Caenorhabditis elegans: one gene and its partners. The protein of the gene in region 3 interacts with the protein of the main gene of each other region in a pairwise test. Each region holds a gene or a part of one and is shown on either strand. Other genes may lie near its edges. The genes, in order: pax-3, klf-2 and nhr-66.

The links.
Region 1: the proteins of nhr-66 (region 3) and pax-3 interact in a two-hybrid assay, tested with the Caenorhabditis elegans proteins (one large-scale study listed by BioGRID).
Region 2: the proteins of nhr-66 (region 3) and klf-2 interact in a two-hybrid assay, tested with the Caenorhabditis elegans proteins (one large-scale study listed by BioGRID).

Annotation. Positions count from the first base shown.
Region 1 is NC_003280.10:10,141,244-10,151,545, forward strand, and holds the start of pax-3 (Paired box protein 3 homolog), read left to right. Parts: upstream 1-5,326; 5' UTR 5,327-5,604; coding exon 5,605-5,646; intron 5,647-6,076; coding exon 6,077-6,174; intron 6,175-6,219; coding exon 6,220-6,316; intron 6,317-7,014; coding exon 7,015-7,198; intron 7,199-7,607; coding exon 7,608-7,682; intron 7,683-10,302. Other genes in the region: asah-2 (putative acid ceramidase), read left to right, coding at 1-103; F27E5.3 (uncharacterized protein), read right to left, coding at 214-403, 470-1,163, 1,651-1,711, 1,760-1,802, 1,850-1,976, 2,088-2,208, 2,252-2,385, 2,835-2,949. UniProt on the Caenorhabditis elegans protein: Transcriptional activator. Regulates the lateral/ventral epidermal cell fate decision.
Region 2 is NC_003283.11:20,680,674-20,690,975, reverse strand, and holds klf-2 (Kruppel-like factor 2), read right to left. Parts: upstream 5,294-10,302; 5' UTR 5,278-5,293; intron 5,247-5,277; 5' UTR 5,160-5,246; intron 4,069-5,159; coding exon 3,880-4,068; intron 3,832-3,879; coding exon 3,411-3,831; intron 3,366-3,410; coding exon 3,306-3,365; intron 2,436-3,305; coding exon 2,206-2,435; 3' UTR 2,146-2,205; downstream 1-2,145. Other genes in the region: dbd-17 (DB domain-containing protein), read left to right, coding at 1-200; F53F8.3 (RING-type domain-containing protein), read left to right, coding at 1,458-1,941, 1,995-2,140; srsx-35 (G-protein coupled receptors family 1 profile domain-containing protein), read right to left, coding at 7,962-8,130, 8,174-8,375, 8,422-8,555, 8,600-8,713, 9,136-9,244, 9,292-9,404, 9,456-9,556. UniProt on the Caenorhabditis elegans protein: Probable transcription factor which regulates lipid metabolism.
Region 3 is NC_003282.8:8,232,033-8,242,334, forward strand, and holds the start of nhr-66 (Nuclear hormone receptor family member nhr-66), read right to left. Parts: upstream 4,551-10,302; 5' UTR 4,546-4,550; coding exon 4,477-4,545; intron 4,172-4,476; coding exon 4,003-4,171; intron 3,878-4,002; coding exon 3,793-3,877; intron 2,983-3,792; exon of another isoform or gene 1-2,982. Other genes in the region: T09A12.8 (AraC family transcriptional regulator), read right to left, coding at 9,513-9,620. UniProt on the Caenorhabditis elegans protein: Transcription factor. Binds to regulatory elements and regulates transcription of target genes, including the potassium channel accessory subunit mps-2. Negatively regulates transcription of mps-2, thereby modulating age-dependent memory decline.

The DNA of each region.
Region 1 (10,302 bases), on a different chromosome or scaffold from region 3:
AAATCTTAACAAGACTACTGTCCACACTGTCATTATGTCTGTCACCAAGGGCTACTTCGAGACTTTTATTCAAAAGTGTCCGAACCCATGTTGGGCTTTCTAATCGGTCCGAAAATCAACAAACATAAAAATAAATGTTCATTAATAAATTCTATGAGTCTATTCTACAACACAATGAAAACGAGGAAAAAATTAAACTGTAGGAAAAAATAACTATTGGAAACTGAATGCACCATGAGGGAATGTTTCAATTGATGCAGTTTTGTAGTGAGACGAGTCCGTTTTGAGAATCGAGCTGGAGACAGTTGAGTTGGTTTTTGGAGCGGATCCAACGATAGCGGCTTCAAGACGATTTGAGCCGGTTGAATCAAAGAGCCAAGAACGAGTAGAACGACGGTGACTGCTGAAAAGACAAAAATTTTAGATCTAGAAATCTAGAAAGATCTAATAACTTAACAACAAAACTTACGTGGAAGACTTAGTAGTTGTGCTCAAAGCTTTTCCGATCTTCCCATCTGATCCACTTGCATAGTAATATTTCCATTCTCCACGTCCACCTGCTCCATCTTTTCTTTCTTCTTTCTGACCATCAGATCCTTTATCAGACGATTTAACCAATTGAACGGGACTAACGATATCCATGCCATATTGTGGATTTTGTTTCACATCATCATCTGGGGATTTTCGAAGATCATCGGAAAATGCTTTTGGTGGAGACGGAATATTATCAAACTTTGATGGAGGAGAATGAAGGATTGGGTTGGTGATTGAGGCTTCGGAAGTTCCAGATGGTACATTTGAAGTGTTTGATCTTGTGGTCGGATCCGTTGAATTACCAGAAGAACCAGTAGTATCAACAGTTGATGGTCCAGATGTTGTCACAGTAGATGGAGACAGCTTGGAAAAACTTATTGCAGCTGGTGGTGCCAGATCATCTTTCATCTTTTTCTTCTCTGGAGACTCTTCAAGTGGTTTTTTCGGTGGAGAAGTTTTCTGAGCATGAAAAGGCTGTCTGGTGAGCATTGGTGGTGGTCCTTGCTGAGAAGAAGGCTTATATGGCTGAGGAAGAAAGATTGGGGTGAGCTTTTGGGTTTCATCATCGGACACCTGTCTTGGCCTTTGATTCTTCGGAAGATACGCGAAACGAGAATCATGTTTCTTCACTGAAAAGAATAATGTAAAAAATTATAAGTAATGTGTGAAGTTTTCAAGCCACACGAAGCATAGCAATTTTTTTGGCTACAGAAATTTCGCAGTTAAACTCCGATGAATATAAGCTAGATTTTCAGACAATTTCAGCAACTCAAAGGGAAAGTTTTTGGACATTAACTATTTTCGATGACTCGCTAATAAAAAAACAAATCAATCAATCATCGTTCCTCCAGTTACAACCAAAACTGCTGGTTCCTACTACCACGACACCGACTTGCTAATTGCTAGCCGCCATCCTTTAGATGAGCCCGCGATAGTGACAGTTCGCCGATGAACTTGTTTTGCCTATTTCTAGATCTAGATAAGAAAGGATCAAAGGGACTGTCCAGCAAATCTAGGATAAAATTCCGAAATAAAGTTTTTTAAGAGAAAAGGGAATGCTGGAAAATTTGCACAATCGTCACCGCTAACACATTGAACTTTTCCCTATACACTTACAATCCGATTGACTTGCCAATGAACTCTGCGCAATCGGTGTATCATCTGCGTCGTAAATCGGCTGGAACGTAATTAAATTGTATAACATCGTTTCGAGCGATGTACTTACTTTGTCCATTGCTGGAGTTGCGACCTTCTGCCCGAGAGAATTACTGTAATTTGATACATTCATAAATTATGAGTTGACAATTTTGAGTACCTGATTTTCTTCTTGTCCTTTCCAGAGTTTTGCAAATGTTGAGCAGCACAGTTTTGAGCGGGATCCACAAAAATGGTGAACTTCTCATTACCGTTTTCTTTGGCAAAGGGTTCCTCGTTTCTGCCACCTGTAAAAATGTCTTGTTAAAAATCAAACATTTGGCGTGACTTTTAACTGGAAGATTATTCAAAACTTTTCATTTCAAAACTTTTCATTCCACGTGTAATTTCAAACTCACCTCTTCTATTGTTTTGAGCCATATAATTGAGTTTTGCATCAAACTCTTGAGCTTGTAACTGATCCGTCACAAACTTCCGTTTCAGGTCATGAAGCCGCTTGCGCATTCTTCGTTTGTACATCTGAAATAAAGAATGAGATGGTGGTAATCAGATATTTGTATACCCATCGAATGACAGCTGTGGCGAGCATACAGAAAAGAAGCACAAGGACGGTAGTGATGAACATGACGACGAGGATCCAGGCGTAGGATTCGGTTGGAACACAACATCCATAGTGGGCGAAGAAGAATCTACTATCTGAAAATGATAATATAGAGTTTGAAAACGCAGTCGATTGCGTCCATCAGGAACCTCAGGAACTAAAAATGGACCGAGAAACATTTTTTTCTCTGATCCTTCATCTGAACACTTACCCGAATATTTACCGCTCATCTTTCATTCGCAACTGATATGGAATTGAAATCCAAAATAAATTTCGATGGAGTTGTCAACGTGGAAATTTAATTTTAATCAGAGCAAGATATTTTGAAAAAAGGGGGAATGATTGTCACGTGTTTAAATAAAATTTCCATGTATTTTTTTTTCATCCGTAAAAATTATTAACTTATTTTTATAATTTTTAGGTTTTTTGATCTATAAATTAATGTTTGCATAGAACAATTGCCGCGCACCTCTGATTTGGTGGCATAAGTTTTGAGCAACCCACCCCTCCTAATAATACACAATTTCTCTGTGAATTTTCCCACCTTCCCGCTTCCGTTTCACCATCTGGTTCTTGTCTCGACACGCACAGGTCTGAAAAGACTGAAATCCTTCCAGACCTGCCGTCTTCCGGCTAATTACAACCAATGCCCACCACATGGCCTAAGATTACCTCGGCTCTTTTGTCGGGTGGGAGCAGGCAACAGTATATTTCCTAATCCGCAGCAATCTGCCACTTGTCGGAAGTGGTTGTACTCTCTCTTCCTTAAAGGTGTTCGATGTGACATGCGGGGATATTATCTTGTCACTTATAAAACACACTGCTAACCGTCTTCTTTTTGTCGACACTATCGAGTCTCAATTTCATTTTCCTTTGTCGATGATGTGTCAGTCGTTAATTTGCTAATTAAAGGGTGTTGATAAATTGAAGGCGTCCCTATCATTTTTCTAGTGATGGGATGCTAAAAAAAAATTGAATGTGGTGGGAAATATTGATGTTCTATTTCAATCTTTCTCTGCTGCCCAACCTATCATAGTCAATTAAGATTTTTTGCAGAACTTGAGAAGGAGACCGGTCGAAATCGAGCTGAAAGGTGTTTGGATTACTGTAGTCTTATGATGAAATACAAATAATAAGAATCCAGAACTTCGAACAATAAATGGAGACAGCTGTCAATAAGCTAAATTTTCAAGAATTTCATATTTTTAATTTGAAGTTAGTATATTTTCTAATGTTTCATTTCAAACAGTGTGTGCCTTTAAAGTGTTGTATCATCTATTTGAGAAATTACAATAATGACATAAGTATTGTAGAGTTTAATGAGACACTGTAACACGGTGGCTGGGACAAACTCTTTTCACATTTTGTCAACAAACTCCCGCACTCAGCCCATCAATTCTCCATAGATGATGCCCTTTTCAGATAGCGGAAAACCCCGCATCATCATCATCTCACACTTCTCCGGATAGATAGATAAAGATATATCCAAGTGTTACAAAGGTGTGAAGACCCCCAAAAGTTGACATCGGCGCGTGGCCCTTAATTATGACCGCATACCACTTCAAACGATACCGCCACCGTTTCTTCGTCCCCCTGATAACATGGTCCCAGATTATCAGGAAAATGGTGTAAGACAACCTTGCGCAATCCGGGAAGATGAAGAAGGAAATGATGATGTGACACGTGCCGAAAAAGAAATTGGGCCCTACTTGTTGATTGGGTAATGCACGTGTAGTTTTCAGGTGTTTTCGGTATTAAAAGGCTATTTGTATGGGGTAATAAAGGATTAATGACTAGGATTATTTCACATTATTTCACATATTTTCACGTTTTGTTTCTAACTGAAACTCACAAATAATTCTCCAATTGTGTAGTTTAGAATAGATTTATATCTTTAGACACCGTCGGTAAACAACTAAAAATACCATTATTCATCTCAATGACATAAACTTTCCCAACACGAGCCCTCCCAAACACCGACTCGCTAATTGCGAGCAATTTATTGATTGACAGTTCGCGGATGAACTTGTTTTGCACATTGTAGATCGAGATAAGACAAGTAGGTTCTTAAGTCGGGCCGACACAAAACAGATAGGTCTAAAAGAACGTCTGAAATTGAATAATCAGATAAGACAGAGTAAAGGGATACTGAAAAAAGAATAGTTATAGAAATACTTGAAAATCTGAATGAATAGAGGTGACAACTATTTTTCCAAACTTACAACTAACACTGGTCTCAAATTACAGATACATATATATGTTAGTTTTTTCAGATTTCAAATTAACCTACCCGTAGGCTGGTAGGCAAGAATGTAGTCGATCTTTGCAAAGTCATATCTTTAAATTTCTCATTGGAAATATTTGTACCGTATCCTCGAAGCACTTTTCCTCCTGACCTCTTTTGTTTGTAAAATATGTTTACACTTTTGAACACTGGAAATGAAAATGGGGAAATTGGTCATTGCCAACAAGTTACACTACTCTCGAAAGTTGTCTGTTTGTTCTATCTGTTCTTGTTTCCGTGAAATTGCAACTTTTGGAATATGTATGTTTTTGGTAATCAGAAAATTATTTTTGTGTTAGGTAAGTCCAACAAATCACATAATCGAAAAAGCAAACAAAGAAAGTAAACTTTGTCTGAAATCCATTAAGAAGCTGTTTTCAAATATTAGTAGCATGAATAATTCTAACGCTGTTTAAGCTTTTAATGGACATGAACGATTTTTAAAGTTTTGAAGTATTCGTTTCTGGTTCCAGTTTCATGTTAGAGTTACTTCTAGCTTCACCCAGAAGCACGGTGGACTGCTTAGATCTATGTAGCTATCTGCAAATATTTTGAATCTGCAAGATCCGCACGCTCCTAGATGTCCTTTTCTTCGAGACTATCCACAGGTGAATCACCATTTTGCAGGTGCTACTACCAAACATTGACCTTTCAAATCAAAACCATCGAGCACATAAATCTTCATCTCCAAAAATCCACCTCCTAGTCAGAATATCTCTGATAACAAACCCACATACCCCGCGCCAACATCTACTAGTACGTCCTTTGATGCTTACCGCCCGTGTCTTTCGCCCTTCTCTATGTCTCGCTGGTTTCGATTACCGTACTCGAGACTATGCATGCCTGTAACAGACCGCGCATGCGCATAGGTGGGCGGGATCGCCGTCCCGCCCATTCACAGTTCGACAAGGCGTGTCACCTCGAAACTACTCGCTCCTTAAGTTTTCACGCTATATACCTGATATTCACACATTCGGTATATTGGGGGCCAGCCATACGTGCTCCTGATATCCCATCCACTACTAACAAAATGACCACAGATTCTATCACATTTAATCACATTCTTGGGCAGGTAAGTCTATGGTTTCGATAAGTTGTTTTCTAGTTGTAGTGCATAAACTACTGCTCAGGTATTTTTTAATGTCTAGAAGTAGGAGATGTATCCCGGAAAAATTTGATTGAAGAAATTTTTGGAAATTCTAGATGGTTCTAGAATGTACGTTAATTTCGAATTATTTCTATACTGGCTCAGACGTTTTAAGGAGCTAAAATTAAGCTCTTGTTAATTATACAGTTTGAAGTTGTAGCCTATAGAAACTTTTGATTTATTGTTAATAGAGCTCATCAAGCATCACAAAAATTAGATAGTATCATTACTATAGTTAGCCTTAAGTTAGATTTTCATAGCATTTGAAAAGTTTTTGAAAATATGTTTTGAGTTTTCCAAGTCTCAATTTCTTCTCCTTTCTCACCGCCTCTATTGAAGCCCAAAATTAATTCAGGGTCGTGTTAACCAACTCGGTGGAGTTTTCATCAACGGTCGACCCCTTCCAATTCACGTTCGTCATGCTATCATTTCAATGGCCAAAAAGGGTATAAAGTAAGTAGTCCGAACTTCTAGAGAACACTAACAATAATCTTTTAGACCATGTCACATCAGTCGTCAACTCAAAGTATCTCATGGAGCTGTTTCGAAAATCTTGAATCGTTACGCCGAGACGGGCTCAATATCTCCGGGACAGGTCAGTGCATTTTCTGGATGATAAGATAATTTGCTAATTAGGTCATCAGGCAGGCGAATCATAACCATAAAATTTAATGTTTGCCTACACGTGCCGCGTGTCGTCGTCCTGATTCAAAAAAGTACCGTAATACTCAATTTTGGCGGGTCGCGCAGGTGCGACGCCCCGGGTGGCACTTTTCGGCATTTTTCAAAAAATGCGTCGGATGTCTGTGTTTCTGTTAAAGTAGTTGTTGTCTACTAGGTTTTTGGTTACCAAAAACATACGGTAATTACAATTCCAAAAAAAGTAAACTTTGAATTCTTGAAAATTCCATTTTGTTGGTTGCAAAACGGCAAAGAGTGTAGAACGGGGAGTGCAAATATACAAAACAATTTTTATTCATTTATAAACTTTAAAATCATCTCAAAAACAACCTGAAACTTTCCAAGAACTGATATCAAAACGTTTTCGGCAAATGACAACTTTGAAACAGTTTTTGAAATTTTTCTCGACTATTTCAATGCAAATAACTGATATTTTCAAACTGATCAAATATTTTTCTATCTATATTTCTACATTTAATTTAATAAAAAAAAGAGTTATAATCTGGGATTGGGCAGTTTTGTAGATTTGCCGAAAATATTCGTCATATTTCTTACATAAGCCTAGCGAAAGCAAATGCTTTTTAAACATAAATATCTATGAATTAATTTCAGATCGGTGGAAGTCCCCGCGCTCGACTTACAGTCCAAGCCGTCGAGAAAGAAATTCTGATCGCATGTGATGAGAATCCACAAATGAGCGCTGCAGAGCTCCGAGATTGGCTTATTCACAAAGACATTTGCACAAAAGGAAATGCTCCAACAGTACCTGCGATAAAAAGGCTTATTGGGAATAAAGGTATAATAATGATGAAAACTGTGAAGGCAAAAAAAAGGTAGAGGAATAGATGAAAAACAAACAGAAATTCGTTTCGTTTGATGAATGTTCCGCTTCTGATAGCTGTGGTTGTGTTTGTTTAACTGTTGACAACGATTTTTTTTGTTTCGAATACTTTCATGGAAACTTGCTTGGGCGTCATTTTTTGATGCGTGATTTTCCACAAAAATTCAACAAACCTCACAAGAAGAACTTCTAGACATATTCGATCAAATTATCACTTTCTATAACCTCATCAATCATTTCTTCACGCCAATCATATCATCTTTTTTGCTGCACTTTTTCATCATATCTTCCTTATCACTTTTTTTTGTTTTAATTTCCTTATCAATATTTATCTTCACACAAATCACCACATACTTTTTTGCAGGCGTCGGGGTTCCGAAGAAAATGGAACGAAAACGGCTGAGCTACAGTATCGACAGCATTCTGGGAATTTCAATTGGTAAGTGGTCTAATTGGAATAGTCTTGATTTCACACATTTATAATTTCGTTCCGTTTGTCTCATGTCCTCCAACACCTTTTTTGGGTGTCGGATTTCCTGTTCAATCAGGCAACATTCCGTTCTTTCAATTCAATTTTCTTCTGCCATATAGTAACACACAAACAGACGTAGCATGAAAGTTTTCATTCCTCCCAATATTCCCAAAGGGGCCAGAGGGCATACTGTATATTGGACTTCTTTGATATAATAACGGTCATTAACACTTTGATTAGTATCGCCTGTATGTCGCTGTGTATGTTAACGGTGTGATAAGACGATAAAGGCGAAGACGTTGAAGAAGTGGGGGCGGAAAGGACAAGAAGCGTCGGTGAAGAATGATGTGAATTAGACAAGGGGGCACGCGTCAGGGGTTGATTTTAATCAACAAGACCATCGTATTTGTTTGTGAGTTGCATGCTGTGCGCCGCCACGGAGATCTTCAGGGAGAGAACCATGACTGATTGAATTACGGGTTACGGTAGTGTACCGCATTTTGTTTCTCCTGATCTGCAACAAGCGTACCGGAATGTCCCGCGTGTCTTCAGGCCTACCTGTTAGCTTGCCTACTGCCTATTCGTCTACATCTTGGTGTGAAGTCTAGGGTCTGATGTTGCATTGTGAAGCCTATAGGTAGGTCGCCTTGATGTCCGGTAAGCAGGCACTTTTGATCCTAAAATCTTGTTTGATCTGTGCTCAGTTGTTAATCACATTCGGTAGGGTACGGTAGTTGTGCAAGAAAATCGTAATCTAAAGAAAGAGCATGTCAAATTCCAGGCATCATACGCCTACCTTGTAGGCACGCAGGCAGGCATTTTTATCATGTTCGGCACTCCAAACAGTTTCATTAAATCTTTGTCTGAAAATTCAAGTTTAACAACAGCTTTGAGACTGTTTATATAGAACGAATAAAAGTGAAATTTTTGGTTTTTAAAACTTCCAAAACTTTTAGCCTACTTTTTATAAGAAACTAGACAGCCACAAACTTATGTTTTTGCAAGTTACTTGAATTTCTAGGGGTCATGCCACTACCTCCTGCTGTTTCAACTTCTTGTCTTCCAAAACTTTCAACACTTCCCCTCTCTTCCTGTCCCGTTTTTTCCCGCTTCCTAACTTGTCGTCAATCTTGTCATTCCTTAAATTGTGAACCACCGCTCAACTTCGCACATTTTCGCATACACGTAGCAATTAAGATAGGGGGAGAAGATTTGCGCACTTGATAGGTGCCTATTCAAATAGGTAGGTAGGAGGAGGAGAAAACGATCCAATAAATTCCATATTTTCGCGGCCAATTGATCAGGATGGGCACACGAGTGACTGGCGCGAGAGAAGATTGGGATGCGCGAAAAAAAGCAAACACATGCATACGAACATAATACATATCCGCAATTTAACACATTAAAACTTTGACATTTGACATTTGACAATATGATTGTTAGGGATGTGGGTTACGGTATGTTGCGCAAGATCGTTAGTAGGTGTTGGTCAGCTTGCCTGGAAGGCAGGCAGGCATGACAGATCATTGTGAGCTTGTTTATTATCAAGTTTTTACCGAGTCCGAGTTACCCTCTCTCCACCACAAACCTTGAACCAAAGTTTGAACTCGGCGGTGCGGTAACGTGATTTTTCAGAAATTTCCCGAATTTGTCAGAATACTTCCATGATTTTCCACATGTCTATATTTCTATTACATTCATAAGTAACAAAAATTAATATTTTCCAAAAATAGGTAGCCGTTGAAAACACAACGCAACGACTGATATTTAGGTATCAGAGACTGGAGTGATAAAGTTCCAGGTGAAAAAAGAAATGGAAACAAAAGTTTCTTCTTCCTGGAATACGCTCAGAATACATTGCTCAATGGGAATATATTATAGCACTCCCCCGCGCCGTTCTTAATGAGCATTGGGAATTATAGAACGATATCGTTAAAAACTACAGTATGCTTAAGGGAGAATTCATTTTTGAAAATCTTACTCTACTCGGCAAGTAGCTAAAGTTTTCTGCAGACTATTACCAGAAAGAGGACTAAGTGCGGTAGAAATCTGCTTTGATTTGACAAGAACGGATGAAAAATATTAATGAGATAAAAGATCAAGTTGAGCATCCTTGAAATCGACATTCTTCAAATTAGAACATTGTATAGAAATAACCTTACCTTCCTTCCTTCCGTCACTATAAAATACTCCTGTGACAGAAACCGATTAGCGCACAGCTCATAAAACTTGGATGTGAGAAACGACGGTGATGATGGAGTGATCCGTCAAAAAATGGAACGATAAAAACAAATTAATAGGGTCCATTCCACCACATGATATCTCTTTCTCAAGTACACAAAGGTGTCAAGTCTATAAATTAGAAGAGACACCCCCCCTCCCCCACCCGCAATAGGGTCTCTCCCGATCTTTATCGATTATTTTTAGAGAAGTGTGTCTATGCGAGAGGCCTACGACATGACTGAGACCACCCACTGTGGCGCAACATTATATATAGTAATTGGGCGACTCGACTGGCAGGCCGTAGTCTTTCTCTGTTAGATACCTTACAATTGACTCATTGATTTCCGGATTTTGAGGGAAAATG
Region 2 (10,302 bases), on a different chromosome or scaffold from region 3:
AGGGAAGAGATCATCGCGACTGTTGTGCACGTAACGGAGTTACCACTACTCTCGCTGGACCAAAATGCTTGAGCTTCTGTGACCAGCGCCTCGGGCGCAATCAACAGTTGGATATGTCCTATGTTCCATGTTTTGACAGATTCGAATCGATGAAATCCTGCTTCTGGCATGACATGACCCGATATTACAAACGAGTTTAATTTTGATTGAAGTCAGAGTAGAAATTCACATTTAGCCGCTGCATATACCTCAATATTCATGTACCCTCCGATGTTTTCTCTCCAAAATCACTACCATTATACTGCTTTACTAAAAAAGTTTTCAAATTTTTTTTTGATTTTTCGTTTTCCCGGTATCCAAATGACATTTCAATGAATTTTTATCTTAACTTTTTACGAAAACACGGAAATTAAACAAATTTGTCAGATGATGTTCGTTACCATAACCAATAGTATACTTTGTTGATCTGTGAGCATACGATTGCACTCTGACACTGTGGTTCAGGGGTAAGCGGCAAACGATTTTTCCGGCAAACCGAAAACTTAGCAGAATTTAAATTTCCGACAAATCGGCAAGCCTGCAAGTTGCCGGAAAAACGGAAATTGCTGAAAACTTTCGGCAATTTCCGTTTTTGTAGTTTTTTTTTTTTGAAAATTTCAGAATTTCAATTTCAATCGACAAAATTGGGCGAATCTTATGAATATTCCTACATTCATTTTAAAAAGCAAGCAAATTTGAAAATATTAAATAAAACAGGGAAAAAATATTCAAAAAGGCACAGCTTGAACTCCGTATTTAAGAAACCTTCTAATAATTTTCGGCAAATCGGTAATTTGCCGAAAATGAAACTTTTTGGCTAATCCGGCAAACCGGCAAATTTGGCAGACTTCAAAAATGTGTACTTGCCGAATTTGCCGAGCTCGGCAAATGCTGATATACACAAATTAAAAATGTTGCTCAAAATTAATGGTGTTGATCAGAAACATAATGAAAGCAAACATATAACTTTTTGGCAATTTTTAAATTCCAAAAAATATTGCGATCTACCAACTATGATGACCACGGCAAATTTGGTAAATTTCTTTTCAATTTGGGTCAAAACATTTTTGATCTACTGATCTATAATCTTCAGGAACCCCATTTTCTACTCAACAAGACTTGCCTCCCGGGAAGAAACGCTCGTCGCATAGGGCATAGGGCGAATCGATAATTATTCCTCCCAGTTCGGCGCGCTCTGCGTTTCCGCAAAGGTTTTCTTTTCCCATTTTTTCTTATTTAATCATTATTTAATTATTCAAGAGATGTTATGATCACTTTGATAAGATAATACTTGTATTTCATCCAGCTCTACTATGTTTCTCAATTTCTGTTCATATGCAACCTTTAATTTATTCAAATATACTCTCCCACTCTCTCATTTACTCATTTAACTAATCATACTTTTTTTCAGAATTTCCATGTTGCGACGTAGCTCGAGGCACGCGGACCAAAGAAAGAATGGTGCACAGTTGAGAGCAGAGGAAGAAGCCAACAAGGTCAAATTGAGATTAACCGCGGAGAATGAAAAGTTGAAGAGTGAAGTGGAAAAGTTGAAGAAAGATCATGAAGAACTGTCAAGGGTTACCCTGAAAGTCAATACAGAATTCACTATTCAAGAATCACACATGGCACGATTACTGCGAGAAAACATGAGTTTGAAGGAGCAACTTAACGACTTTTCCTTCAAATTGCGATTCAGAGACGATATGTCTCGCGTCGAAGAACAAGTGAAAAAAGAGCAGGGAGTCACAGACGGGTATCGAAGGAGAGTGAACCAATTGACAGAATTTCATGTGAAGAGTCAGGAAGAGCAACGAGGAGAACCGTTCCCATGGAGAACCTGCGAAATTTGTGCTTGCAAGTTTGAGGGAGAAACTATGGATCAGACTCCGCGAGTTTTGGGTTAGTTTTAAATTATTTTTTTCTAAATTCAGTAGAAAACTGAAAATTTTCAGGCTGTGGTCACACGATGTGCATGGGATGTGTTCAAAAAATTGTCGGGCAAGGGTACATCAAATGCCCTTTCTGCCGGATTGTCACAAAAATTGGAACTACGCCACTCAATAATTTGCCAAAGAACTACATTGTTCTTAATATGTGAAAGGATTCAATCTACTGTTTATTCATAATTAAACGTATCATCTCACTCATAATGAAACGAAATCTTCAAATAAAAGTCATGAAATCCTTGAAATCATCCATTCCATCGTCTTGTTCATCCGTTTCATGCCGCTTCATATGTAACTGCAAATGATCACTTCTCGAAAATTTCCTGGAGCATTCTTTGCATGCAAACGGTTTGGCTCCAGTGTGCTTACGGTAATGGCGGGTTAGCTCGTCGGATCGTGCAAATCGCCAAGAGCATCCAGGCCATTCACATGGATACGGCTTTTCACCTAAATGAGAAGATTATTATCGAATAGGTAATACTTTGGCAAGCTGCTGACTAGGGAATGTTCAAAACTCCAAGTGGCCATTTGGTGTGAAACTAACATCATTTGAAAGCTGAGATTTTCAGCTTGAAAAATCTTAATTTCTGCTGCGGATATCAAAAGTTGTTGAAAATTTACGACCGGATCTGTATAAAACTGACTTTGGCTATCCGTTTCTCAAACCTCAAAATTAAAAAAAAGTGCTCAACTAACATAAAAGTTGAAAACTTTACATCTTACCGTTTTAGAAATAAAAAGCAAGCTAATTTCCCAAGAAGCAGTTGCAAATTTATAAATTTTTAGATTTTCGCAGCAAAAAAACATTTTAAAAAGCTTAGCTGACGATCTCAGTGTCAGATCAAATCGCGACTCTGAGTTTCGTCAATCACCAGATAAACCAAAATATAATAGATATTTCAGGCGTTCTTCCTGCAAGCAACTTTCGCATTTTCCACACTTTCCGAAGCATTAGGAATTGGGTAAGTTATTATTTTCCAATTTTCCCGCAACCCTCCTAATTCTTATATCCATAGGCCCACGCACTTAATTGACAGTTTATTGATACTTTACAACTCCTTATTCGATACTTCTAAAAGGGGGATGCCGCGAAGTACCGGACAAGGCCAAATATTGATATGGACTAACATAACATAGCAACAGTAGTTGATTCCTGTGCATTCGTTACAAAAAGTATCTAGTGATTGATGAGAAGCGTGTTTGTCAACGGAAGTATCCCGTTACACAGAACAATGTGCCGACGAGTGCGCGCTGTTCACGACATTGAAGAGGAGGATATGATTAATTATGTATAATGAGGTTCTGTAAGCTACTCACCACTATGAACACGCTCATGAGCTGTTAGATGGGAACTTTTTGTGTAGACCTTGCCGCAACCTGAAAATGAAATTCAAGCTTAAGCTAAACACGCTTGCAACTTACCTTGATAAAAACACTTATGAACTCTTAATCGATCCAAAGTAGCCTTATCCCTCCGTTTACTCGGCACCTTTTTTGGTTTTTCAGTGCTCTGCGGATGATATACTCTTCCACGATCTTTTAAAGGAATCCTGGGATCTTCCTCGTCTTTACCCGACAAATCGCTTGAAAATGAGTAACTGGATACAGACGCTGCAGGCGATGGAACGAATAACTTGGCTTCAAACGGATATGGTGTCGAGCTTCCCGAGTTTTGATGTTCCATTGGAGTCATCGAAGGTTCCATGTGATTGAGGTGAGTTTCGGAATTATTCTGTTGTGGAAAGTCATGGGAAAAATTGAAAGAACTGTGCGGGCCTTGTGGAATATTTTCTTCGAAAGTTTGTTGGACATGGTTATGATGATTGTAGTGCTGCTCGATGACCTCAAAAAATAGAAAATTGAATTTAAAAACTTCAATTAAATACAAAACCTGATTATTAACAGGTCCCGTATGAAAATGATAGTTGTGAACATTGATGACTGGAGCCGCAGCTGCTCCATTATAATGATGATGAGATTGTTGGTGATAATGCTGCTGATGATGTTGGTGATGGGCATTTTGGTATTGAGACTGATGATAGTAACCATTTGAACTAGACGGGACTATGCTAGAGTACATCTGGAAGGAGTTGTAGATGAATAACGATAAATTGAAAATCACCAAAAAAGAGTGAGACTCTGAAACGAATTTTCAAAAATTACATTGTAACAGAAGGTCAAATAAAAATTAGCATAGGCAAATACTAATTCATTTTGTGGTTAAAAAAAGATGTAATGCCTGAACCTAATTGTATGCATAGTTCTAAATTTGTAGTGAAAATCTTAACCATAAGCCAAAGTAAGGCAACTTCTACTAGTAGATAGTACAAATATTCCAACACTACAACAACACCATGTAATACCGTTGTGCATACACACACGCACAAATGTGACGTCTTCATTCTCGTTCAATACATTTCAAGTCATAAAAGTCTTGCGTTCTTCTTTGCCTACTGCTTACTTTTCGATATTTGTTGTGAATTTTCAAAGCGAAAGTTGTAGTTCTTGTGAATATGTTTTTACGTCATATCACAAGTGTATATACAAATAGGGGGAATTAGTAGCAAAATTTTTGGATCTTTTTGATATTTAGAGAATTCACACTCAAACCGAAATATTCAAGAGATAAGAAAGTTAAAGGTGGAGTAGCGCCTGTGAGAATTTTGTCTCACTTATATTAAACCAAAGCGACAAAATATCATGATGCAACACTCCTAAAAATTTTAGGTTTCTCATAATTCCAGGTCAAAGTTTTGGCACATTGCCAAAATATTGAAAAATATGAGCCTTTGAGGAAATTCAATGCAGTGTCGCATGTTCCGACCCCTATAATTTTTTAAAACAAATAATTAAAACAAAATGAAAATATAAAAAATGCAAGAAATTTTTTTCCGACTTCTAAAATTATGAGTGGCAAAGAATGAGCACTTGTCAGTTTTTGACAGTAAATAGAAAAATTTCAAAATTTTTTTGAAAGTTTTATTTTGATATTCGGTCATTTTTGACACCATAGGAGTTGTTTTTAGCATTTTCCCCAATGGCGCTGCTCCATTTTTAAGAACTTTCAAGTTCGAAATTCTGGGAACTAACTACTAACTATAAGGCTCTAACTCTCAATGCACTGAACACGTAGGAACTAACTCACTAAAAACAAAATACCTATGTACTCACCACAAAGAACAAAACAATGTTAATGCTAGATTACAATACGTGCCTTCATTAGTAGAGCATCTATCGTGAAACTAAAGAAAAATGACTAATGTTTCCACAAAAATAAACATCCTAAGCGAATATACACACCTCTTCTGGTCTACAAAAAAGTGAGCTCCCCAGGCTCCAAAAAAGGGGTGTGGTGACACCAGACCGGTCACTCCTATGATAACAAACAGAAAACTTGAGCAAACTTTTCTTTCCCCCCAAGAATAGAAAATACAGAAAACTTGAGCATGTGTAGATGGTGGTCATGATATGTTTGATCTAAAGATTACGACACTTTTGGGCATTTCGAAAAAAAATAAACATGTCAAGAAGACGATGGTCAAGCTAGAAGAAAATTATCCAAGAAGGCGCACATATGCCCTGCAAGTGCCATTTTATGATAGCATGTCAAAACTGATAGGCATGGGCAAACAGTAACCAAAAAACGGGGAGGTTTGTTGTTTCTCTGAGAAAGGGGTGGCAGAAAGGTGTGTGCGCGGAAAATGTGTGGAGGGGAGATGGGTGTCATTAATAGAAGAAGGAAGGGAGTTTTTTGGGAAAAGGACATGTGATAAATAATTTTGTTTTCAAAGTTCAGAAATTTTATAGAAAGAACACAAGGCTTTGTAGTGCTCCAAAGTTATGCCGGTTTTGATCAATAGTACAGTACATCACGGGTGGGTGGCAAACGATTTTTCCGGCAAATGGGCAAATTGCCGGCAAATCAGAAATTCTATTTCTATGAAAATTCTATGAAAATTTCAAAAAAAAAAACGGAAAAAAATTCAAAAAGGCACAGTTTTAAGTGTTTCCGTCTTATAAAAAAAATCCCTCTAAACATTTTTGGCAAATCTGATATCCATCAAATTGGCAAACCGGCAACTTGCCGAAAATGAAAATTCCGACAAATAGGCAAACCGGCATTTTGCCTATTTGCCGGATTTGCGGACAGTCAAGTCACAACCAAGATTTGGTTTTAAATCTGAAAATGACGTGCGGGACTAAAAACAGAAGGGAAATGTAGACGCTAGATTGAAAAAAAAAACTATACATATCCACAAACAGTATCACTTACAGTACTCTAAAATGATACCCCAATGCTGTGTTTATCCAAACGTCCCCCCCCTCCCACCTCCAATTTTAGTACCCTCTTCCCTACCGCCTCGCCTTGCTACAGTCGGGAAGTTATGATTTTACGGGTGCGAACAATCCAGTAAGTGGGTGCGGAAGAGGAGGAAGCAGTGATTACTGTTAAAAGTGCCGACTAGGTATGTAAACGTACTTGAGAATATTGTTTGGACGGGCGGTCTCCTTTTTTTCAACTGCGGCGGGACCATATCAGTTTTATGATTGATTAATGTTTGATATATTGAGATAATGGAAAGGTGTGTTCGACTGGTAAAACTCGCAGTATGGTTTTAACTGAGGCAACTCCAGCAACCTAATTCTTTGTAAAAATTGTAACCGTCAGGATTTTGAGTTTTGACAAAAAAAACTAATAAAAATATTAGAAGATCTCGAAGAGAATTCAGATGTGAGTAAACAAGTATGTACATATGTTCTGAAATATATTTATATATACACATATATATTTACATAGACATACAAATTTAGTGGCAATGTATCTTTTTGTCTGACACTCTACATTTTTGCGTGTTTAAAAGTGCAAGATGAGTCGTAAACAATTTTCATTCGATTTTTGGAATCTGGTTTTTAAAATTGAACAGCAAGTAATAGATCGTAAAAGCAACACAAACCAATAAGGACGTTGCAAATTGACCGGAGATTTCTGAAATTTGTTTTTTTTAAATTTAAATTGTTGATGTACTTACTTGCAATAATATGTCACCAGGACCATAATCAAATTTCCAGTAGTCCCAATTACAAAAACTGTACAATAAATAACGAAAAGGATAATTAGAAGAGGTTCCATTTTTTGAGACAACGGAAGTGAGAAAATACAATAACTACAATCTATTATATAGGTATTTTTTATATCCTCTATAATTTGTATTATGAAAATAGGTGAATTCTAAGAATCCCTTAAAAAATATATATAATAACTTTAGTATAATAGTCGTTAAAAATATTTCTAGTTTTCGCAGATAAGTACATAAAAAACAAGACTATCTAAGAATAATCAAAAATCTTTTCCAGAATTATCTTGTTTCTAGATATGATAATCTATTACATATAATAGGACCTCATTAGTCAGCTTATCTTGAAAACGATACAATATACAAAATAACTCCCAACACAATCGTAATTCTGACCTTCTTGGTTGCATTTTTCGCGCTCCATTGACAATCGCCTGCCGGAGATGACGCGTGTAAAAGTCGAGTACTCTAAAGGGACAAAAAAAAATTCAGTTTTACAACAAAAACCAATCCGCGACGCGGCACTCAACGCTCCGTAAATCTACCCAAGATGCGGCCGAGCCAAAATGGCCTAGTTCGGCAAACTCTAACATTTCAATTTATGATGGAAGCCAGACCCGCGTGGAAGATGCAATCAAAATTGACAAAAAGATCTCGTACCATACTTTCAAAAATTATTTTAGAATGCTGGTACATTTCGGAAGTTTAATGATTCTTGACGTGGACAAGAAAATATTTCAACATGAACATTTTTTTGGCCTAACCTTCACAATATTGCAATACTACAGAAAATTACATTTATTTGTACAGGATCACACAAAAATCAATAGTAAGCAAAGTATACAACGATGTGATTGAGGTAAGAAAAATATATTTAAAAAATTCTTTAATGCAAATCCTAGATATGAAGTTCTTGTTGAATCGTGTTCAACGCGTTTGTATTAGTAGATGGTCTCTGAATACTTGATCTCTGTGCATCTGTAGCTTGTTGATAAGTGGTTCCTTTTGCTATGGATATTTCATTCGAGAGACCAAGCATTGTGCGCATTGCTGAACGGTAGTCTCGACTGAAAGAATGTTTTGGGCTAGAATTAAAAAATTTCAAATTACCTCAATTTGTAATACACCACGGCATTAAATGCGCTCGACGTGAATATAAACGTTCCGCAGTACAACTGAATCATTCTTGCCACGTCCTTATCCATTGGCAGTGTTACCGTAAGCGCACCAATCAAGTCAGTCGTCATCCAACCACATACAACAAGGCATACAGTGACCATTAATGATTTGAAGACTGCTTTCATTGAGCTATCTAAATTTAAGCGTAGAATTTCCTCAACTTCTCGTTGGTTAATTACTCATTCTCATATTTTTGATCTTAAAATACACATATGCGTAGATGGGCGGTACAAAAAGATTTATGACAAACGAGGTGAGAGCAAACATATCATAGGCATGACCCAATGATTCCGGGAGTAGGCAAACGACATTTCTAAAAAGTAGCTTGATTGCCGGAATTTAAGTAAAACTGCTTACCTTTTTGGGTCCCGTTGCCCAAATCCCATGATTAACAACGCAGAGGAGTATATGATTGGAAACGCCAATAAAATGAAGAAGTACTTGTAGCGTTCGTGTTCTAGCATTTTGTATCTGAAGTAGTGTAAGATTACTGTACACATAGAGAGAACAAGTGAGAATTTTGAATTATCATAAGTTTTGCCCAGTGGGTAAATTTGTTAACTCGCTACCAACTGACTTTTAACTGACTCTTAGATCAGCAGATGGAACGTACCATTCTTCAACCTAGGGCTCTCATGGGGCCGCCGCAACGGCGGCCGCGCCGGCCTCACGGCATCACTCACGCCGCATGTATCCAAATGTATAGTGCGGCGCGGAACCCCAAACGTGTCGGCCGCTTCCAAATAACTACCTTTTGAACTTCATTGCACACAGCGGCGCGACTTCGGCGTGAGGTTTCGCGCCTCACCCAGCAGGGAGCCCCCACTACTTTTTTTAAAAGTTTCCGCCATTACTTTTTTAAATGCAAGAATTTGCGTTAGTGTTTTGTATACCTTGTAGGAGCAGCTACCGCAATGAGCCTATCAATTCCAACAGCTAAGACACATGCATTAGACGCGAATGCTCCAAAATCCGCCGGGATATTGATGTAGAAGCAGAACTCTGGATAATTTACTTTTCAAATTCATTATCAAAGATAATTGACTCACCTTGCGTTATTGGTATAAACATAGACACCACAAAAGCTATGATGTCGGTGAAAAGCAGAAGATCACAAAAGCAGCAGACACAGATTAGCATATTGCAAATGGATCTTAGATTTCTGGAAAAAACCTCAATATGTGCTCGAACGTGCTTAAGATTTGCAACTCACTTGCTATGTAGCGTTACCAAAACCATCAGCAAATTTCCTGTGAAACCGACCACAAAAATTGTTGAGTAAATAAACAGAAGAATGATAAGAAGAAGCTCCATTTTCCTATAATACAATTCGGTACTGGAGGTTACTAGAAAAAAAAATGAAAAAGTGCGAAATCGGATTTCAATTTACAGTTTTTGATAAGGCAGATCGCAAAAATTCACAGTAAGGAGAAACTTTTTCTTTATTTTCAAAAAAAAAATTGTGACTGGCAGCTGAAATGAATAATAATGTCACAAGTATCATGACTATACGTCAACAAAGAACGTGGGAACTTTGTCTGTCTTTGATATCTTTCGATCACGTACTAAAAATTCTAACCAGACATCTAATTATCACAATGGTAAAGTTGTGGGCCCAATGGTCAGTTAGAGGACTTTTCCTGGCGCAGAATATATATACTTTGTCGTTGTTTTTCTTTATTACAAAACGTGTTGTTCTAGTTTTTTCTTTATGTCTTCTTTGAAAATGCTGTCAACTTTGAAAATCCAGAAAAAAATTGAAGAAAAACTGAAACAAAGCTGAAAGTTGGCTGATTTAAAACAGCTGAAATCCATTAAAAACTCAAAAAATGCCACGTGTCACGCAATGGTTAAGAATGAATTAGTTCTTGGAACATGTTTTTTTGATTTTTTGTTAAAAAATCCACACCGTGTTATGCACACAACAACAAACTTGGCGTCTCGATTTCTGTTAACTGCGAATTTTAAAAATTTATAAGTAATAAGTGATATAAAAAGAACGTATCGATCTGAAAATATTACTTATTTTCAAATCAAAAATTTTTGAAGAATAAACTCCA
Region 3 (10,302 bases):
AAATGAAAATCTACTTGAATCGAGGTTTTTATTCGAAAAAACTTGCAAAAAAGAGAAAAACATTTCAATACAAACTTTTGCAAACAAATCTTTGACCGATAAGATCATTGATAAAATTATTGAATGAAAACACAGTTTTTTAAAATGATTAAAAGATGAAGCATTGTAAATGAGAGAAAAACAACAAGAAATGGTCAGTTTTTGCATCAAAAACTTGTCTTCTTTCTTCCATCAACAATGCGGACATCCATTTTGGAGAGTGGGTGACGTTGTCGGGAAAAACTGAATGAATGGAAGAGAGGACACCTAATCGTTATACACAATCTTACTACGGTTTTATGACTTCATAGATCAAGAAGAAGAAGAAGAAGCAAGTCAAATAAGGATGAAATGAACAAGAAACCACCGCACTGGGTGGTATAAAATTAACGGAAAACAGCTAGGAAACGGAAGAAACTGGAGGATCTATGAAATTCGAGGCGTTGTTGAATTTCGTGATGATGGAAATGAAGCATACGTGAAGAGGGAAATGGAGACACAGGCATTACCAGCATCACACGTACTCGCTTCAACGTCGTCTTGTGGTGGCGACACACTCATGTGTTTCTCTCTCTCTCTCTTTCTCGTTCTCTTACACTTTTCTCCATCTCTTTTGGAAGTGGACAACAGGAAGACTTTATGCAGAAAAGTTGCCAGAGGACAAACACGTTGAGAAAGTAGTGTAGGTGCCTAGCAACAACACCATCATTGTCGTTTATTTGTTTCATTCTCGATTTCTCTTGGAAAAAGCGCGCCTCGTGGCTTTCCGTCATGTATGATTCTATCTTTAGCGTAAATGAGGTCGAATCGCGAGGAAGGACTGGGGCGATTCAAATGCAAATTGCGAAAATGTTTGCAAGGAAGTAGGAAGGTGAACTTTTGGACAGAAGGCTTCTTCTTTTATACATCGTGCAAAGGTTGAAATCGGTGCCAGGCAGAACTGAAGTAAAGTACCAAGCACTTTTTGCCACCTGATGTGTTTTTCAGAAACTAATGTCTAGTTTCAAAACACACTTAAGCCTCATCTATTCAAACCAAAACATAATCACCCGGTGTATCATCAAAATAAAGTTTTGCAAACGTAAAAATAACGTAATCGTAGCAGTGATCCTATAAGTACGAAAATTGGTAGGTAGGGAATTTTCTCCGCCGTCCGTCCGAATTTTTGCATGTAGAATTTATTAAAACTCTATAAATGCTTGGGAATCTTATTGATTAACACCTGTTTGGGTTATGGAAAAGCTGACTATCATTTTCCTTAAACACGTGAAATTCTTGCTGTTTGAATCAATATAAAGGAACATTCGGAAAAATTGAAGAAGAAAAGGAACACCGAAATGGGTGAAATTTTCTTTTTCTTTTCATCGTCTTTTATCTTGTTCTCCGACTGCCCTCTGCCACTTTCCCTCACCAGTGATCTGTCAGGCGGACAAGGTGGAAACCGAGGGATTGACAAACACTCTAAGGACACTACGCACAGGAGTGAAGAAGAGTCCGTGAATACTTATTAGTTTGTAGGTCATTTCTACGAAAAAATACAAACGGTTGGCCACCTCGTGAACCCGATCTTTGTACAAGAAGTTAAAACAGTCGAAAGTCGATTTTTGCGTATGCACAAACGGTTGTTTATAGTATAAACACAAACTGATAACTCTAAGTCACCATTTTATCATGACTATTCGCTGAAATTGATCGTTTTGATCTAACGATCCGAATGATTACACGATGAACACCATTCAAAATAAAACTGGCGAAATTAATTTCAACTGCTTTGAAATGTGTAATTGTAGGCTTTCAGCAGATTTTAACAATCTAATGTAGATCACTTCAATATTCTAACACACTAGTCTCATTCAGCTTTTCCACTGAAGATCAACGAGATTTATAAGATATTCACATGACAGTTTCTGGACAATAGAACAAGTGATAACGTCTTTATTCTAGATGCCCGTAGTTTGTAGTCTTTAGAGTTTGTCAAATAGATGTTGAACATTTAATAGGGCGAAATGGGGATCATCGGAACAATAATCGAAAGCAAACGGCTGTCAACTTGAATAGAAATATTTTGGCAATAAGCCAGGTTCTAAAGTACGACAAAAGCCTGCTAGTTCCATTTTGGAATCAACACGATCCTGATCTATGCATTTCTTTTTGAAAAAATCTTTATATAAACATCGAAATGATGATAGAAAATGTTGTAGGCCAACACCGATAACACATGAGTTTGTGGTATTTTGCAAGCAGGCAGGCGCACGAAAGAAAAACCGCAAAAAGCGATGATAAACCGGAAAGTTTCCGGTGATGGGGTATTGAGTTTGCTATAGCACACAGTTTTCTGTTTTCCCGAAACACAAACACGTGGCGCTTTTGGATGTTGAAGTGTGCGCTAGCGAAAGAAAAGAAAGGAGAAATACGTAAAATGATACATTGAGCCTTTGAACTTTCTCGTTGTGTGTGGTTCTCTGTGGTTTTTTTCCTTGCAGAAAAAGAGACGAGACTCATCAACGCAAAAGTTCTCATGCAGTCTGGGAATTTCAAATTATGCAGTTAAGCACAAGATGGGTCAGAGGAGGAAAGCTTTAGTAAAGAGAAAGTCGACGAGTTGGTAATGAGACGAGAGTTTCCACCTGTTTCGGATATACGGAAGAGGCAAAGAAGTAATAACGGAGAGCCGGCTAGCTTGGAAGGAATTATAAACGGAGCCGATCTACCAAGGCGGGTTATTTCTGACCCCTTCAATTTTCCTCCTATTATCGGTTTGTTTTGAAGCGCATCTGCTGTCATTGAGCGCTGCAAAGCTGTTTCGATGGTCAGGCGGAACGGACAATTGGGGATGGATGAAGGACTTCGGGCTTTAAACGATGGACGGAAGACCTAACAATTTGGTGTTCGACTTTTTATATAATAGCTTGATTAAGTTGCTATATAAATCCGTTAAAACTTGAATATAATGTTGCACCACTTGTTCCCGTTGATCTTATAATTGAAAAATCACATCGACTAATTTAGAAATCATAGAAAAGTGAGTTGCAAATTGTAAAATAGAGCTGCTTCAGGTGCACATATAAACTTCAGTCTAGTCGAGAAAAGATGATTACAATGAAGCTTTCTTACAACAAGTATCTCTGGAACGTTGCAGCACAGAAATCCCTTCATTTCTACACATTTCAACGACAGGAGCATGCCAGTCAGCTGTACTCTGCACCTTTCTCCCACACTCTCCACTACTCATGTGTCATGCAACATACAACGGATCTTTGTTTCAATGCTCTTTTACTTGCATTTCCGTTGTCGCGCATGCACATTTATATATATATATGAGAAGTCTGCTCCCAATGACAAGGGCAACCAACTAAAATTATGAAGGATTATTTGACTTTGTTCTTTGATTTTGAGTTTCTTTATTCTAAACTTATGAATTAGCAATGTACTCTATGTCTCTTCTGTATGTAACATCACATTTTTTAAGAAAATAGCGCTGCTCAGCTTGATTAGATTTATCAGACACTCCAGCGTTGTCAAGCAGAAATCAGACAGATGAAAAGTACAAAGTCACAGAGCAGGAGGAAAGATATGGATCAAAGCACAAGACTTTGAGCGAAGATAATAATGAAAGATCAAAATTCAAATTTAATTCGGAAGGTTCAACTTTTTGATTATTTCTTTTTGAATTCCAATTGCAATTTTTTTTCCATACAAAAAACTGCCTATTTTCGGCAAAATTTTGAATTTTCAAAAGAAAAAAAAACTCACGGTAATAAGTTGAATCCGTCCAGTCTAGCGAACTGTAGTAGAAGTTCTGGAGGCAACGATGTCAACGAACCAAGCCCAGTGAGTCCTTAAAACGAGCATGATTGATTAATATTTCAGAGAAAACAACAATTGTTTACGCGAACTACGACTCAATTTCTCCCGCGCATTTCTCCCCCATTTTTCTTGATTGACAATAACAATCTACCGTACCGATTTGTGGAGTCATTGTCGCTGTGAGAATTGGCGTCTGGGATTTCCCGGAGGCCAACGAACCGATGATCGGTGTCGAATTCTGGATGTCAAGACATGATGTTGATGTTGTTGCGGGGGTTGAGAGAATTCCTCGAGCGATATTGATCAAGTCGACTTGAGATTTTAACTGAAAATAAAATATTTTATTGAATTAATTATTAAATTTCATGAATTCTTCAAAGAAACAAGTTTTTCGACTAAAAAAAATACAATTTGTGCGCGCAGGGAACCACAAAAAAGAAACAATTTGTTGAAGAAAATGGTTCAAAGGAAGGCTTGGTCTCGCAACGATTTACCTGCGTTGTGCCAGAGACTACGATACAATTTAAAAAATCAATTTTTTTATTGTAAGCATAAAATTTTATAGAATTCTATTTAATATTAATAGGAAATTTGATATTAAACTTTATAAAATTCAATTTTTATGCAAACCTGTGTCATTCCTTGCCACACCGACGATGCTGATGTTGTCGTCGCTGTGGGCTCATTGATTGGCGGCATTCCATAGAAGATGTCTGAAAGAAATCTGAAAATAGTTGACGTTTCTAATTTTATTAATTCGAAACAAAATTGCGATCAGAATAATGAATAAATTGAGCTCAACAGAGAGCAGGCGAGCACAAGTCGAGTTCTCAAAAAAGAGGCGGGCTGAAGTTTGCTCGCGAGAGCTTTGTAACAAGAGCAAGGTAACCGGAAGGCCATCGAGGAACGAGGAAAATTAGAATACTGAACTGACAAAAGGACCTTGAAAATTGAAAGTATGAGAAAATGGGCGGGGCCGCCGGCAGGAGACACGTGAAAGATCAGCAGAAAAAGGACGGATTGAACGAGAAATCAAATGCGCCAATCTAATGGATTCGCTTTTATTCTTTATCTGTATATATGTATGAGATGTTGTGACGACGACACCATCGGGACAAAAATAATCTTAGAAAACAAAAATTTTCAGCAATTTTTCGCTAATAGTAAATTTTAAAAGGTATTTTTTTAAGAACGTAACATGTTTTTGAAGATGTTGAAATAAATAAATTGATAAAAATTGTAGAAACGTTTTTCACGAAAAATTATCTCATTTCACGAAAGCTTACAGGCTTTTCGAAATGCTTTTCGCTGGAAAAAATTTGCTACCGAAGAATACAGCAAGTGCGCTCTGGTGAAATCCATTTGTGCGCGAAGTTTGAAATTATTTCTACAGTAAGATGAAATCAGAGAAATCACAGTTGTCGAACATTTGTAATACACGATCGTCGCATTATTTGTGGTTTATGGAGCCTCAAAAGAGAATTCAACAGTAAAAATGTGCATTATCGCCACAAATGGAAAACGCGCCTCGATATACGATATTCTGCAGCTAATCACACAAAAATCGGGTGGATATTATACGCAGTCACGAGGGATGTGCAGCATACCGTCCGTTCTGATGCTCAGCAGTGTGCATACAAAAGGGGCTCGAGATGGGATATGTGCACAGCTTCTCGCATAATAACTTTAAAACAGACTACATTTTGGCTATTGTTAGAGATTTTAGAGAAGAACAAAAAATATGAAAATTCGAGAAATCAGGCATTGTGGGTAAATAATTATAACTATAGTCGAAATGAAAAAATGTTTTTATTTTCTGTTATGCTTCAGCTGTTCATCGTTTGATTTTTCTCATAAGACTTTCTCTCATAAGAAGTTGAAAAATTCAAATGTTAGAAATACATTCGTGTCTAGATATTTGTAGACATGTCGCGTTGTTAGGCTCACTGAACACGTGCAAATTTAGCGAATATTATGAAAATTTTCGTAGTGTAGCAGAAAACATTTAAAAATCAAAATTTTCCGAGAAGCACATTAAAAAAGAATACAAATGTGTTCTTTCAAGTATTTGACAGCTTTCGTTTAGGGATTCATTCAAGTCAGCAGCAAGATTTCGGACTTCATGCCTACCTGCCTAGAAGTCATGGATTCAATCCATAAAACAGTGCGTAAATGGCAGGTGCACTTTTTCTGGTATAACTAAATAAACATGAATTGAAATGTTACTGTAATTTGCTTGCTGATATTTGAAGACGTTCATTTAAATGTACTTGAAAGCATTATCAATTGGGAAATAGTTTAAAAAAAAATTTTTTTGCAGTTTTTGCAACCAAAAGTGTAGATGCTCGTTTATCTTAATGACGCGAGTTTGAGTTTGAGAGTTGAGTCTCGCTCGAAATCCGGAAAATAAAAATAAAAAATCAATTATCGCCTTCATTTTGATTATTGGTTTCAATTTAAAACATAGGAAGTAGTTATCTTTGGTCCAAGCCTTTTGTTTATAATTGATTTGAACATGAACAATTGAAAACTTTCTATTAAAAATCAATTCAAGTATCCAACAAAATTTCCTACAATATTCGAAAAAAGAGGCATCATACTGTATAAAATTCGCTTTCATCATAAAAAACAAAAATGGGACAAACGGTTGGTAGCAAGCAAGAGACGGTTTTGTATTTGAAACGAATCATGACGAATCAAGAAAACCAAACGAGAAAAAACAAAAGACAATGTCAATTGTACGGTTTTAAGAAAGTGATTCAGAAGGATTCGTAAAAACATAAAATCTTGAATTTTTGAGTATTAAAAATCTCTTCAAATCGGGCGATGTAAGAATCAGAGGTTCCATGTTTGAAATATTGAACCATACAAGACAGATGAATGAGATATGGATTGAAAGGCGGGAAGGATATTCTAAGACTAGACAACAATCAACACGGAATTCGGACAACCGATCGAACATCTTCGAATCGTTGAAAAAAACCGAAAAGAAAATTACAAGAGAAAGTGTTTAAAAAAATTGTTATAGAAAATATTCTAGAGACCAGTCTAATCTACTAATGTACACTCAAAAAAATTAATTCTAAAGTAGATCAGATTGAAAGTATGTTTAGTTTTTAGGCTAGAACATTAAAAAAATAAACAAATTATTCTAAAAAGAAGATTCTTAAAGGGGTTTTTCAAATCATTTTTTCCCAACGGTGTGTCTTAATTATTTTTAACCAAGTGGAAAGCTTAAGATTTACCCATCTCTTGTTGAGAAAGAATGAAAAATGTTTATGTATGTACATTGAAAGTAGGTACGTAAGGTTGCCTAGAAACTAGACATGATTGCAAAGTCGTACCTACGTTGAGTGCATATTCTAACCGGTTTGCTTTCAATTTGAAACTATATGTAGAGATTACATGTAATTTTTCCCATTCGGTCACATTCGGGAAGCTTTAAAAACACAACAGCCTAATTTTGCAGTAAAACGTATATGGTAAAAATTAATCCGCGTGCAAGACCTAGTAAATCTACACTTCATAATTACCAAAAATTAGAGTCCCACGCCTGGAGCCTGCAGAGAAGTACCCCATAAAAGCCAAAGACTAGAAAAATGCCGAGAAGATATCTAGGTTGAAATATTAAAAAAAACTACCTTCAAAGTATAAACTTTCGTTTGACAAAGAAGATAGAAAGATTTATTCGGAGTCTGTGTATCAAGTTTGTCCAATAGAACGAGTGCAGCAAAATAGGCGGAGCTTCTTGGAAATTGAATGTAGTTTTCTTATTTACATTTTAAACTTATTGTTTTTGTTTGCAAACTTGAGAAAGTTGATGTCTGTGATGAAAAGCTGTGTACAAACTACAACATGCTCAATATTTGACTATCTCTCATTCAATACGTCGAAACTGCTACAAAACACGATAACTGTATGGGCGTATGTGTGTATATGATTGTATAAGTGCAGTTAAAGAAACAAGAATATTATTTCATGAGGTGAAGCCTAGATAGATGGGCGGTAATACATATAGATCAAATGAATGATAAGAAAATAAGGATGAAAAGTTTGAAGAAATAATAGGATGTAATTATGAATATACCCTATTTCTTTATTATATTGACTGTTTTCACCTTATTATAAAATCGGAAAAGATGGAATAATAACATAGATAAGATACCCGAAAAATAGGATCTTTTTGGTGGACCTGGACACTCGGTACATTTTATTGGGTAACGGAGTTATTTTATGAGTCGGTTTTGGAGAAAGTTTTATCATTTGAAAAGTTGAAAAGAAAATTAATGATATTTATTAACATATAAGATAAAATATATACTTTTTGAAAGTTATTTGATTTTTTAGATGAGCAGTGGAAAACTTGGCCACAAACTTGTTCGTCATCTCATAGCTTGAAAGAGGACAACGATAAATATTTCTTACAAAAAACATTTTCATGACGTGTGAAAAATTTGGACTTTTGATAATATTTGTATCATTAATTTATCTTAAGATTTAAAAAGCTTCAATATCATTTGAGATAAGAGAAAACTATTGAAAATCAATTTGCGATATGTTGCTTATGTTAACGCAACGTTTTAACATTAAAATCCTTTTTGACCAACCAGAAGGATAAATAAACATAAATAATTAACAAAATCCTTAACAAATTACTGATAGAAATTATAATCGATTCTGAACGATAGGAAATTTACAATAAAAGTATCTATGCAGAACCGTAAAAGGGCACACAACGAAACAAGGTCAGAATGCGGAGATTTATCGAATCGGGTTTTTAATTTAAAATTGAAAAGAAAGAGTAAATGAAAAGCAAAATAGCCAATTTGAAGATGAGTATGAATCTAGAGCAAAATACCGAATTAATTAATTATGAGAGCAATTGTATTCACAGACATTTTTTGATTTAAGCTTTTTTCCAAATTTTCTGTTAGAAATTTATTTGGATTTTAAATTTCAACTTTTACATTTTAAACTTAAAAATCTCTTTTTTGTTGTACCTTCAACTGTTTGTTTTAGAAATTCAACACAGGCAAAACTGATAAAATGATACTAGACACAACGACACATAAAAGGTCACATCATCTTGTGATTGTTCATTAAAACAAGTGGCCCTTCAAATCATTTGTCGTGAATCAAAAATCTGCAAGAAAATCAAATCACTTTCTCGTGGTTAGGCTTTTGATTTCATGAATCATGTAGTTTGTTTCGAGATGAAGTGAACTTATAGAATTTTCAGTTTGTTCTTGTGTATACAGTATTTCCTTCGATAGTATTGTACTACTTCATTTTAGAAAGTTAAATTTCAGTTAATTTTAGAGATATCAATAAGTAATCAACTGCGAATCGAATGAAAAAGAAATAACAAATAGATTGTCAGTTTAGATTTTTGTATAGGTAACCCCAAAACTGAAACATAAGCTGTCAAAGTTGAGGTCGCAAAAATTAGAAATGTTTTGAATTCTATAAACGAGGAATACTGAAAGAAAAAAGAGACAGGGAAGGGGGTATTATAACAGGGCGAGAAAGACAGTCACTTGAGGTTGTAGTGAGAACCTTCCTCGCGTCAAGGTAACAAGAAAAGATGGAGGCATTTGATAAGGAGGAAGAACGAGGGAGGACATGGAAGACCCCCGTCCCCCTCTCTTTTCATTCAGCCACTCATATTACAGACACAAAAAAGGTCCTGCTGGTCTTTGCCTTCTCCGTGTTACCATGTCACAACGAACCGAACATCCAGAGACACATGCCAGACGATGACGTTGTATCTTCGCCTAAAAAGTGAAAAAGCCTCATGTCTCATTTAGAACACTGATCAAAAGATATCTTTCCTTCTTTTCTTCTTCACACGCCCGAAATTTCTTACTATAGACATCCGACCGATATGAATCTTTTCGATGGAAACTACGAAAATCAGGTTATTAAGAGGCTTCGTATTTGAGCGCGTTTACAGGAAACTACTTTTTTCCTAGGAGAACATCTTGTAAAAGTCATTGGTATCAAGTGGATTCTAGATATACGGTACACAAATTTAGATTCGATGGCAGGACAACGATTAACTTTTCGTCTGGATCTATCATTTTTCTTTGGATTTGAGAAACATTAGCATGAGATGTTTAAATGTGTGTAAAGTTTGTGTTTTTTCAGCGAGCTATGTACATCTGTCGGAAACTGCAAAAAACTTTATAGGGAGACTTCCAAAATAAAGGGGTACGGTTTCTGGCATATTGCCCTTTGCCGGATTGTCTATTTTGATGTGAAGTGCGGTGTTTGATGTTTTGAGATTTCCTCATTTTTCATTTCATTCACTTTTTTGATAGTTACAATTTGTCACTGACTTAGCAAAATGCAGTTATCAATAGCACACCTCTATATGATTTCATGCAAAAGCTTAAAATGCCGACACGCCTGAAAACCAACACAAAATATTGATTTAGTGGCGAACGAGTATCGTGA